2 linked regions of the Neodiprion lecontei genome follow. The protein of the gene in region 1 interacts with the protein of each later gene in a pairwise test. Links are inferred from orthologs where the notes say so. Each region holds a gene or a part of one and is shown in the gene's direction. Other genes may lie near its edges.

Region 1 (5,109 bases):
GATACAAGATGATAAAAATGTACCTAAATTTCACAGGTATTTACGAAATGACTGTTTAAAATGTCAACATTTATTTTTCAATAATGAGGCACAGTTTCGGTGTTCTAAGCACATTGCACATTTTTATAACAATCTTTTTGAAATGTGCATTACAATAAGAACAACTTCAACTTGTAACTTTAGCGATCGAATTGGGCGTTTAGAAAATATAGTCAGTTAAAAATATTTTTCGCAGCGGAAATCGTCGAAGTTTGCTTCTGAGTTTACCGAAACGAGATATAGAAACGAGTTCAACCCTGTTTGCGACCATTGCCAATTTTGTCACACCGTGAGCACAAATAGATAGATAAAAACGATGAAGAGAGCTACCATTTTTAGTGATTTCTTGCACGCAAAGAGAAGTAAAAGTTGAAGTAAAGAAAAAGTCTAAAAATAATAAATTATGAACGCTCAACTAACTTGTGAGAAAAGAGAAATTCAGAACGCCTGCATGATAATTTGAAAGTCGTTAACATAGGCTAAAACATCAGTGACAAAAGGTTTGGGATAATTGTGAAAAACTTTTCAAACCAAACGGCAAGAAACTTATTGACTGAACCGTATTAACCAAAGTTCCGGTTCACAGCCAATTATACGACTACGGGAATCCGAACGAGCAGAAAAGATAATAATCACTTCGTCAATTAGTGTCAAATTTAAATACTTTTTTATTTACCTGGTTCACGGAATTTACCTGTTGTTAATTCCGTGAATAAAGCTCAACCGTTGCAATCAGAATTGACAATAAATGTCAAATATTAACAAAACTTGTGCTTGCCGTGTTCGTAAGCTCACGGGTAAATATTTTGCATTCTGCCTGATTACGGCAGGGGGGAGGGAGGGAGAAAGAATCGCTCTCCCTCCCTTCCTTATTTTGTTACCAATAATTTTTATTCACGGTAACTTCTTACCTTACTGCGTCTCAATTTGTGTATCCCATATTTTCTTCTTCGAAATATCTCCGATCGTTTATCTGTGTTTTCTATGGAATCGTGTACTTTGGCATACCGTAGGCCAGATAAGATTCTCTCTACAAAATAAGACTACCAGCGGCATCTTCGATTGAACGCGAATGTTGCCTCCTTCAGGTTCCTTTTTGTCGTAAAAACAGGTCTGTAATCGATAGCATGATTGATAATCAATTGATCAAGTCGTGAGAAGTACTAACAAATCCTCTTCCACAATAAAACTTCCCGATTTCGAGTCGCCTGATTGCTCTGTCTTTTGTTTTCTCGGGTCAGGTCGAAACAAATTTGTGTGAAAGTCGACACGCATCCTGGTGGATACGGGAAATTACGGGAAGTCAGAAATTCACATATCGCTTCGCATTTTACGTATTGTTATGTATGTATTTCGATTAACTCACTGCATCGGTTTCTTTCTCACGTTGTTGACGATGCAAAAAAACAAAATACATCGATGCGATCCGGGTTGTGGCGCCATAGGTGAGAGTATTAAGAACCCTAGCGTAAGAAAATGCCTTACCTTAAAATCTTGCGAGTAAATCTGTTCATTCGAATTCGCAGATGTGAAACGAATCCTATTCGCCAACTAAGGGAGCGGTTACTCCCGAATCATTCTCAGTTTCATTCGGTTAAAGGTCGCAACCGCTTTTCCAAAACATCCTCGCCATCCACGCTCGCCACGACAGCTTTCTTCCCGAGCGTCGACGAGGCAGTTAGTCGGCAGCCTGAATTCAAGATGGCGCGAGGGTCACGTGTCCCACCGAGAAAGGCAGTGGCGCGGCAGTTCGGCGTTTCGGATCCAGGCGTCGCTGTTTGCGATGTTGTAATTACGGTTTGCCGTTTCAACGATATATGCTCCCGTACCCACGCGCAGTTGTGGTAATGGCCCCGCGCGTTATACAGGGGTAAAACGAGACGGCCGTTTGGGGGAATTGAATGTGTTGTCATCGCGGGGTCGCGCGCGTCGTGATTAACGTAAACTGACCGTGCGGTAGAATCTGTGACCCGACGAAGAGTGGATAGTGACAGTTGAAAAGTGAGGTTAGGGTTAGACTTACGGGACGAGGACGAGGAGAAGGAAGATACGGTGTGAAGTGTTATCATTGTGCGTACGAGAACCTCGGTGTTACTCATCCCCCCTCTCTGTCGATAAAGCAAAACAAACAACATGTGACAAACGCCGCGCGTTCGAAACAACATGTAACTCTCACCACCGTTCAAAGTGCAACGATCACGGGAAAGAAGTAAATGCGAACGGGGTTCACGATCGAAACCTTCGTCAGTCGTCGTTCGGCGTTTAGCCCGAATCGCAGAAGTCCGCTTCTCTTCTGTCTTGACGTTTTATCGAGTACAACATCGGGCCCTCCTTCTCTCCCGCAAACAGAGAGAGAGAGAGAGAGAGAGAGAGAGAGCGAGAGAGCGAGAGAGAGAGAGAGAACGAGAGAAAATAGAGGGAGGCGGCGGATAAACCCGGCGTGTCCGTCTCTCCTGCGGTTGGCTTCAGGCTGCAGCTACGGCAGTTGTGCGTCCCTCGGACTCTCTAGCAGCGGTACACCGGTTCGTCTCTCTCCCCCCCTCCCCTCTCTCTCTCGCTCTTCACGTCGCTTACCCCCGTCCGTTGGATGTCGCACTCCGCCCCCCCCCCCTCGTGCCGAACGACCTACGACCGTCTCTTTCTAGTCGGCTGAAACACGCCGCGCTCACTCTCAACTACCTGTTGTGACGTCGAGCCGCGCGTTATTCGACGTCGCCTTCTGCCGCTGCGAACGACGATCGGCTGGTAGGAGAGCACTCGAGGAGACGTACGTATAACGACGAGTAAGTAGGCGAGACTACTCGCGATCGGTGCACGCGATACCCGTCGTGCGTCGAACAAGTCGAGGATCGGGAAAGGTGGCGCGGTTCGCCGGGACGGATTGTTTACAGTTATTCTTGTTGACGTTCTTTTACACCCTTCGGCGCGAGAGGCGAGAAAGGGCTGCCGCTGATATTCGTACGTAGTGCATACACACGCGCGGCGAACAAAGAAAGTGCAATAGTTGGGTAAGAGTGCGCGGAGTTGACAGTAGTGACAATTAGGTGGAAGTACAACACGTCGAATCCCTACAATGTTTACGGTCGTAACGAAGACGCCGCCGAATGTCATCGGGTTCTTGTTTACATCACGTGGAAGAGGACCGCTACCACCGCTATAGGGCATTGCCGTCGTCGCCGTTCGCAGTGTGTTTCTTCACCCTCCTCGTCACGGAGTTGAACCTGCGCCTGCGCCTGCGCGAGCGCGGCACGCGTGATTCTCGATACGATAAGAAGCGGCAGCGAAGCGACAAAAGCGAGAGGAGAGCGTATAGCGCTCGCCGAGTGATAATAACGTAAAATTCCTTGTTGCAAGGAGGCGGGGGCGAAGGGGAGGTGACGAAAAATAGGAACAATCGCGCGTCGTACGCCGATGTACGAGGTTGCGGAGGAGGGAGAAGCGAGTGACAATCTGCGAGTCAAGTCCAACGGGGGCACCTTCTCGAGTAAGAGAGAAGAAAAAGAAGAGGAAGAGGAAGAGGCAGAGGCTGAGGTAGACGTAGACGCAGACGTGGAAACAGTCGTCGTAGAAGTAGAGGTAGAAGTAAAAGTCGGAGCGGCGGCTGTCCGCCCGTGGAAGGACGGCTCGCGGTGCAAGGGGAGGATGCGAGGGGGGATTATCGCGGTGGCGGAGGAGACACCCCGTCGCGGCGCCAGGGCGACGAGAAGCAGAGGCTCTCATTGAGCTGGCGTACCCTGCGCTGGACTTAGGGGGCTGTATGGAGGCAGGGGGGCTCCTGCCCCGGCAGCCCCCGCAAGGCCCCCCCTCAGGGCCAGCCTCGGCCTGCGTGGGCGCGTCTCAGCAGAGCGTGCAGCACCAGAATAACAACAACAACAATAACAACAACCTCAACAACAACAACAACAACAACGGCATCATCGTGCAGCCGGGTGGCTTGAACGCGAACCAATTGATCGCCCAGAATCAGATACAACAATTACAAATGGGACAGGCGCCGGGGATGGAGGATGCCTTAACCCCAAAGAGGCAGGCCGTATTCGACAGGCTAAGGAGGAGGATCGAAAGCTACAGGAGGCGGCAGACCGACTGCATACCCAGGTTTGATCAGAGCTTCAACGGACTCGTTGAACAAAATAGCCAGGACACTCAGGTGCTCAAGCAACGATTTCTCGAGAGCAAGGCCAAACGGCAGGCCAAGAAGACCGACAAGAAGCAAAACGACCCCGTCGGACTCGCCAGCGTTCACGTGGTGAGTTTACCTCTGTTATTCCCGTTTGTTTCTTTATTATGCGAAACCTTTCCCTGTACGTATTGTGATAAAAGCCCTTCTCTCTCTCTCCCTCCCTCCCTCTCTCTCTTTCCAAGTACCTAAAACGGTCATAAACATTCCGGCTGTCCCGTTTCTTACAAGTCAAACGTATTGTCTCGAATTCCCTAATCCTCTTCGAGGTGATACCGTTGTAAGGAAGAAAAGAAAGAGAGAGAGGTAGAGGGATAGAGAGTTAGTTGAGCCGCACGTACGGAAAGTCGTTAGTACAACAACGGTATGTAACGGGCGAGCGACGGTGAGGACGAGGAGGACGACGGTGACTACGGGCGTCTTGCTTGCCCGACCCAACCAACCAACCAGCCAGTGCAGTAATCCGAGCTTAGACCGGAGCAACCCGACATTCCAATTCGATTCCCGCGTTTAACTCTCTCCATGATTCATGCATCTATGTGCATACATACGCACGCGTCTCTGGTGTACGTTTATACCCTAGACGACGACGACGACGACTCCGCGAGAGAGATGCGATCTCGCCGTTTCTGTTCGCCGCCGGCTCCCCCTCCGCCCGTCCAGTTATCGCGTCTAATTATATTATTATATGCACGCAGCCCGAAGCCTTCGCTCGGCTCGACCATCCATTCGATCCAGCTTGTGTGGGTGTGCGTGTCCGTCCGTCCGTCCGTACATGGTGCATGACTGTAATGCACCTGTACGGACGATCTTGGACACGGATTCATGCATGCTCACGCATCCCGGACAGGTTATGCTGTAGTAGGCAGGCAGGCTGCGGCGGCAAACCT
Region 2 (7,603 bases), on another chromosome or scaffold:
ACTTAGGCCGCTATGTTCCAGCATATACATCATCGCAGGATTGACGTCGCTGGATTTCATCAGCTTTTTTAATTTTTTCGATTTCATGACTGTGACTTCTGGCTCATCGCTAGATTCCCAGTCACTCTCCCAGTCTTCGTCAAGCTCGTATTCCTTCAAATTTTCAATTATCTCCACATTACCGTCTTCTGACGGAATCCCGTTATTCTCTGAGTTTGAACTCAATGAACTGACTTTGGTAATGTCAGGTTTTTTGGCTGTCAGAACATCCTTATTCACACCTGAAAATCACAAACAACAGTAGCAACTGTTCAATATGAGAAAAATATGGGTAAGATATTTACCATTGATATACACAAATCTTGTCAAGTTGTCAGCTGCAATGCGACTCGCATTATCAATCTTTGTAGTTGTAGCAATCCCCTGTTCAGTGAGAAGGACATCCAATTCTTCCAAAGTCATGGTCTTGCCTCCCATCTCTCGCTCAGCTTCCTCCAAACATTCCTGAACATTTCTCCGCTTAAGCAAACGCTTCATTTGGTAGTTTGAAAAATCGTGAGTATCCTGAAAAGATTTTTCAATCATTCATAAAATCATCCCTACCTTTAAATATTTCATTTATATAGTCAAGAGCAAAGCAAACCTCAGGCATTTCATGAAGACATCCCCAAGAGTTTTCCTTCCTCGACGCCTTTAGATCGGTTAGTATGTCGTGACGGACATCCGGTGGCAATGCCCTAAACTCTGTGCTGCTGACATCAACACTGTGGATATTTCCTTTCCATTTGGCTTGTTTCCTCGGACTAAGTTGAACAGATGATTCGGTTTCTGTCTCCGGATCATCTTCGTTCTCCGAAACAAACTCGCTGCTACTGGGAATGACGGGTAGCTTGAATAAATTCAGAGACGAATGTACAGAGGATCGATCGACTTTCTCACTGGTTTCCCCCTTTTCTTCCTGCTTCTCAGCACTTCCAGCACCCAGGGCTCCCTTGACTACCGTACGTTTAAGCAAATTATTTATCAAGTCGTTCTTCATTTTTTGCGCCTTACTAGATGCCATAGATTTCTGCTTTCTGCGAGAAGCCTGGACAGGGGGATAAGACAATAGAATAATTAACTCCGTTCTCTCACTACCTTATTCCCACGCTTAGCCTAATTGCATTTTTACATACTTGCATTAAAATCAAGATAACAAACTATATTCTGCATATGATATAGCATGTGAACGCTTGTATGTTATATTCGTTTTAGGACATACAAAATAGAAGTTTGAAACTTTAATTTTGCCATACCAAAAGTAGAAGACAAGGTGTCCTATGTGTAGCTATATTTACTCAACAAACATGAAAATCTGCACCATCTATTCCTGACGAAACTTACAATCGTGTTCTTCTTGAGCAGAGGTACGCCGCCATCAAATACAAACACAGGTTTGATCTTATAATACAGTAATTTACATATTCGATTGAATAACCCAAGAAGATGAGCATTGGGCAGAGGACTTCCGTGCCCATCCTGATATCCTTGCATCACTTGATGCAACCAAATGGAAACATCTGAAGGTTTAAGTTAAGATAAATGTAGAATGCAGACGTGGGTATATGAGTATCATTGCCATTGAGGTAACCAATGATCGAGTTTGGTTGATAATGGGTATTGAAAGGATACCGACGGCGAGGACTTTTCCCTCCAGTGTTTCTAAAGCCACTGGTTTTCCAGCAGCATCCAGCAGTCGCCACAGACCATGAACGCCCATGGTGAATAATTATATATCATTAATTCTGAGGAAACAAATTTCATATAACACTTGTCGGAAACATTTACATCAGTTGTAAGTTATTGCTTTCGCGGTTTTAGTATAACATAACCTCAATTATTGATGGTACTGACACGGATGTTATGGTCGTTATTCACGATTGACGTTACTCACCGAAACGACAGGGACGAGACGCATCTTTGCTGATCGTCGCTGTGCGTACTACGTAAAATTATTCGCGGTTAAAAAAATGTAGCTCATGTGCAAACATACCACCCCAGTAGTCTATGTCGCCACGACGCGGTGCGCAAAGAAGTAGAGACATTGAATGGAAGGAAACTAAAGATTGAATCCGATGTCTTTATAGATGAATGCATATCACCCGGTACATATTTAAAAGCTGGGGAGGATACATACAGACCATTCGGAAGAAACGATGAAGCGATTATCCGACAAATGCAGGCCTACACGCAAGCATCGCATGTTACAGGTACACAGTATAGGCAAATTTGTATGTATCATAACTACTAAGTATTCATATGAATAATGGAAGTATGTGGCGTAATTATCGTTTTATGTATTACGATTTGTCAACGAATTCATAGTCAGGTTTACCCGAGTCGAACAGCGTGTTATATCTTACATGGTAGCATCAAGCGAGCAAGATGGAGCGCGTTGTATGCATACACACGTCACACGGTAAATACTGTACATACGGATGTACATCGACACGCGTGTGCGTGAATCGTGGTCATCATAACCACGCAGTTAGAAGTGGAATGGAGCGGACCGGAGTGGGGTGAGTGAGGGAGTTGAGGCCACCCACCCACTCTTTCCCACAGCAGGTTTTTCCCACGCCCTCGAGGGTAACCCCAACATCCTTTTGCGGCAGCAATTCCAGGCGTTGTAGCTGGGAAGTGGGGCCGGCGGGGTCGGAGTAGAGTGGGAGACGAGTGCCCAGGCCAGACCGGGGCATTGTAGAACAGTAAAACAATAGAAACTTCAGCCACTTACGATGGAATAATAACTCTACGCCGTCGCGGGGGATTGTTTAGTTCCATCCCAGACTCTGACATTGAACCATCATTGTCCAGGCATACACACGTCCGTATGTATGTAGCATACATGTGATAAAATGTTACACACGGCTCGGACCACTTTTAACTAATAAAATCTATCGTCGCTGCCGCGGGGTGACGGCGGCGAGTCTCGCGAACTCCGTTTTTAATTGCCGTTCAGCGCAACACTCGCCGTCCCCTTGTGAGTAATTGTTCTCTGTCAAAAGTTCTTCGGGTCGGAGTGTCTCGTAGCAGTTTTCTTCACCGTAGAACCGGCGACGCATGTGTGTAGTACATACGTATGTGATACATGCATAGCTCATAGATACGCTCGTAGGGCCAATTGACGTCGGATGGTGCGGTGAGTTTGCGCGAGCGTTGGCAGAACTGTCGGAAAATTCGTAAAGTGAACAGGTGTTTTTTGAATGGATTAATTGTTAGGAAAAGACAGGCAGGCAGGTAGGCTACAGTTGTGTACAGTGTATTGCAGTCAGTTATTCTCGGGACCGCCACAATGCTTCCGAAATAGTAATAGCTAACGAAACGAGGTATGGATGCCGAAACGGGCGTCTCTACCGAAAACATTTCTCACCCTCGTAGTTACCAAATCGAAAGAACTGACGAACCACGGCTGGACATGGATAAAGCCGTTCGCAGCAGTGGGAAATGAGGTAGGCCTGTTTGTTACCCGTACGTTTTCACCCTGTCTGCAATGCAACCTATCGTAACCTCGCGGTAATTCGGTGCAATATATTAGTAAACAAACGTCTCGTATATGAGTACGCTCGTAAATACGTAAATGCATAGGTATAGTATACGTGCGGAGTGATATATGCATTCACGTGTATATTTGGTACAAGTGAAAGCATGTTTTTTCCGAGCAATCCTGTTTCTTTACTACTTTGCGATGTTTGGATGATAAATGTTAAATTCAACATTAAATTTGCAAGTACGCTTGAGAGTAGAAATAATTAAAAATATTGCGTTGTCATTACCGACAGCGTGCTCGTTAGGGCCAGTAGAGCAAACGTAGCTAAACCCGCTCCATCTAGGCTAAAGCGAGAAAAGCTGGCAGTGCCTCGGATTGTTTGACAACAATTAACCGTCGCGCGTGAAAATTCGTTTATCTGCACGCATGTAATTTCTGTGATTTAATTCAGATGCTTTCATTCGCCGGGTTTGATATCAGCTGGGTATCGCCGAGCGATGGTTGCTACCGCGTGTGATACGCGCGTTTTGCCTTTTAACATAGTACGTTTTTAAAAAGTGAGATTATGTAGGTTTAAATCGTACAAAAAAAATCAGAAAAATATAGAATAAGCAGCTGTATCTGTGTCTGTAACACGTATTGTTTTCCAGATGAAGAGCTGACCTGCGGGCAAGTGGCAGGGATCATATCCACACGTGCGAAGATGTAACTGGTGCTCTAAAAAGTGGTGCTCAGAAATTGGTTTCCTGCCTAGATAGTAACGAGTGTAAATATGCCGCATCAGTTTGGGCTGCCTGCAATGGCGCACGGCATGCAGTCCCCTCCATCTCCGTCAGCTGTGTCGTCATCCTATCCTAGATTTGCCTCCTCCGGAGTGTACAGATCTGATACAGACCAGCGGCTGACGCGTGAAGCGATGGAGCGCTACCTCCGCGATCGAAGTGACATGGTGATAGTGATCCTGCATGCCAAGGTGGCACAGAAGTCGTATGGCAATGAGAAGCGGTTCTTCTGTCCTCCACCATGCATATACCTCTTTGGGGATGGGTGGAGGATGCGCCAAGAACAAATGCTACGCGAGGGGGAGTCCGAACAGTCGGCACAGCTGTGCGCCTTCATCGGGATTGGCAACTCAGACCAGGACATGCAGCAGCTGGACCTCAACAACGGGAAGCAGTATTGCGCTGCTAAGACTTTGTACATATCAGACTCTGACAAGCGAAAACATTTTATGCTGTCGGTTAAGATGTTTTATGGTAGCGGACATGACATAGGTGTATTTCACAGCAAGAGGATAAAGGTGATATCGAAGCCGTCAAAGAAGAAGCAATCCCTCAAGAATGCCGATCTATGCATTGCCAGTGGCACCAGAGTCGCCCTGTTTAATCGCCTCAGGTCCCAGACTGTCAGCACCAGATACCTCCATGTCGAGAACGGCAATTTTCACGCCAGCTCAACCCAGTGGGGTGCCTTCACTATACATCTGCTCGATGATAATGAAAGCGAGTCTGAAGAGTTTCAGGTATGCTATCTTCTATCCTGTGAGATTAATTTTACACCATGCACAATGTCATGCAAGATCTATCATGGTATATTGTGAGATTTGCAGGTTCGAGATGGGTATGTTCACTACGGAAGTACAGTAAAGCTGGTTTGCTCGGTAACAGGCATGGCCTTGCCACGTCTGATAATCAGGAAGGTAGACAAGCAGATGGCAAGTTTAGAAGCAGATGACCCAGTTTCCCAGTTGCACAAGTGCGCCTTCTATATGAAAGACACAGATCACATGTACCTCTGTCTGTCCCAGGAGAGAATAATACAGTTTCAGGCAACGCCGTGCCCCAAAGAAGCCAACAAGGAGATGATCAATGATGGCGCCTGCTGGACCATCATAAGTACAGACAAAGCAGAGTATCAGTTTTTCGAGGGAATGGGGCCTGTCCGTTCTCCCGTAACTCCAGTCCCCCTGGTTCACAGCCTGCACTTGAATGGTGGTGGCGACGTAGCGATGCTCGAACTAACCGGGGATAATTTTACACCAAATTTACAAGTGTGGTTTGGCGATGTTGAGGCCGAGACGATGTATAGGTGTCAAGAGAGCATGCTGTGCGTTGTTCCAGACATTTCTTTGTTCAGGGGGGAATGGCTCTGGGTTAGGCAGCCCACACAAGTCCCAGTTTCGCTAGTCAGGAATGACGGGATTATTTATGCGACGGGACTGACGTTCACTTATACCCCTGAACCTGGGCCACGGCCACACTGTCCTCCTGCTGACGAGATAATGAGAGCGCCGAGGTCCATGCATGATCCGAGTCTGCCCCCTGCGATTGCCGATGTTCCTTGGAATATTCACCATCAGCAGCCTCAGTCGGGACTCTGATGTATCGCGCACTGCCAGAATCTGAGCAGTGGATCGGCTTCTAATGACAGCTACAGTGACAGTGACGGTGAGAATAGCTCTAGTGGTGAAAGTTTTTTGCGGCAAGCTGACGAGACTTAGGGAGATGAGTGTGACATGTGCAGCGACAATTTTAGGTGATGCCGAATTGTAAAAATGCTTATCATCTACAAAATTTGTATGAATCTGGTCACTAAGTACAGTGCTGCTGTTCGTAAAAAAGATATAGAAAAAGAGGGAACAACAGTTATGAAGGGAAGAAAAAAAATATAGAAACGGTGAATAAACTTTATCCTCATCTTCAGCTTCATTGTTCTCCCTTATACTCGATCTGATTTTCTATGAGTAATTCTAGAATCTGCATTGTATGAAAACTATTATTTCTAATAAGTCCCCCCTGCCATTGAAGCAATGGGCCGTAACAGGCCGGAAAAACCAGGAATCATTGGAGAACTTTCTTAATCTAGAAAAGTCCAGGAATTTAATATCACCCGGTCATTTATTGCCACCCTGATTATGGCTCCTCGTAAGCGTGTGGAGTAACAAACTCGTATGTACAAGAAATAATACCAAGAAGACATTTTGTAATATTTTTCTTACCATATTTATAATCTTTTAGCTAAAAATGTGAATATCTGTTATTTCTTCTACACACGAATCGAAAAGCGATACATATGCAATTACCCTTTTCGTAATATACCGTGTAGATGTAATATGTACGATATACAGAAATAATATGCAGAAATCTGAATCCTGGCCGAGAAAATACTTGTATAAAAATACCTCAAGGGTCCATTAGTATATACACGTGGTATGAAGTGGGACACGCCTTGTTTCAATTATTTTTTACGTCTTCAAAAGATATTGAGAAAAAATATCCAATTAGAATACTTCTTTCTATTTTCAAGTTATAATTGTAGATATACATAATGCATATAACATGTGTTTGCATAATGGAACAGCACCATTTATAACAATAATACAATGATGAATACAGATAATATTTCAGTATATCGCAGTTTATGATTGAATGTATATGTATCTATGTACATATATATGTACGTACCGACACCTCCGCGAATTTCCACAACACTTTAGGTTGCAAGATTTCCTGTATGTATAGTATATACATATTGGAGTTTTTTAAATTTTTCTCAAGGCATATTTCCGTTTTTTGAACAGGTATGTATTGTATATTACTGGTGAGGAAACGAGATAAGATCGACTCGAATCTGCCTGTCTCCATGTGATATGCTCTATTGTTAGCAAGGAATGGAAATGTGGCATCCCATGGGAATTTACCCACAATTAACATTCTCGTTGCCTCACAGTGTCGGGTACTCGACAACAGCAGTGAGGCACGTTTATCTTTCTTATTCGCAACACGGTTAAATCCGAGCTTACAATAATTACATCCTCCTAGTGTATACATAATTGTGCATAATTCTCTCTGTCTCTCTCTCTCGCTCTCTATACACACACACACACACGCACACATATATATGTATGTATTTATTTATTTATGTATAATAACCCGAGACTGGACGGATACAATTCGTATGGGAAAACCTTAGAGCATTGTATATGCTCCAAGGGGAAGACTTGGATGGGAAGTATGACTGCTTGCCCTAATCAGCTGCTTTTCATATTTTCTCGTTTTCCTTTCCATGTTGTATGAT

The links.
Region 2: the proteins of neurogenic protein mastermind (region 1) and suppressor of hairless protein interact in a two-hybrid assay, tested with the Drosophila melanogaster proteins (6 studies listed by BioGRID). The link is inferred for Neodiprion lecontei from reciprocal best matches to the Drosophila melanogaster genes mam and Su(H).

The regions. Positions count from the first base shown.
Region 1 is NC_060265.1:1,241,048-1,246,156, forward strand, and holds the start of neurogenic protein mastermind, read left to right. Parts: upstream 1-1,857; 5' UTR 1,858-3,796; coding exon 3,797-4,288; intron 4,289-5,109.
Region 2 is NC_060264.1:23,422,725-23,430,327, forward strand, and holds suppressor of hairless protein, read left to right. Parts: upstream 1-1,978; 5' UTR 1,979-2,249; intron 2,250-2,402; exon of another isoform or gene 2,403-2,527; intron 2,528-2,742; exon of another isoform or gene 2,743-2,883; intron 2,884-3,174; exon of another isoform or gene 3,175-3,488; intron 3,489-3,574; exon of another isoform or gene 3,575-4,093; intron 4,094-4,176; 5' UTR 4,177-4,298; coding exon 4,299-5,048; intron 5,049-5,135; coding exon 5,136-5,906; 3' UTR 5,907-6,925; downstream 6,926-7,603. Other genes in the region: DNA excision repair protein ERCC-5, read right to left, coding at 1-281, 345-564, 644-1,087, 1,384-1,559, 1,672-1,759. UniProt on the Drosophila melanogaster protein: Transcriptional regulator that plays a central role in Notch signaling, a signaling pathway involved in cell-cell communication that regulates a broad spectrum of cell-fate determinations.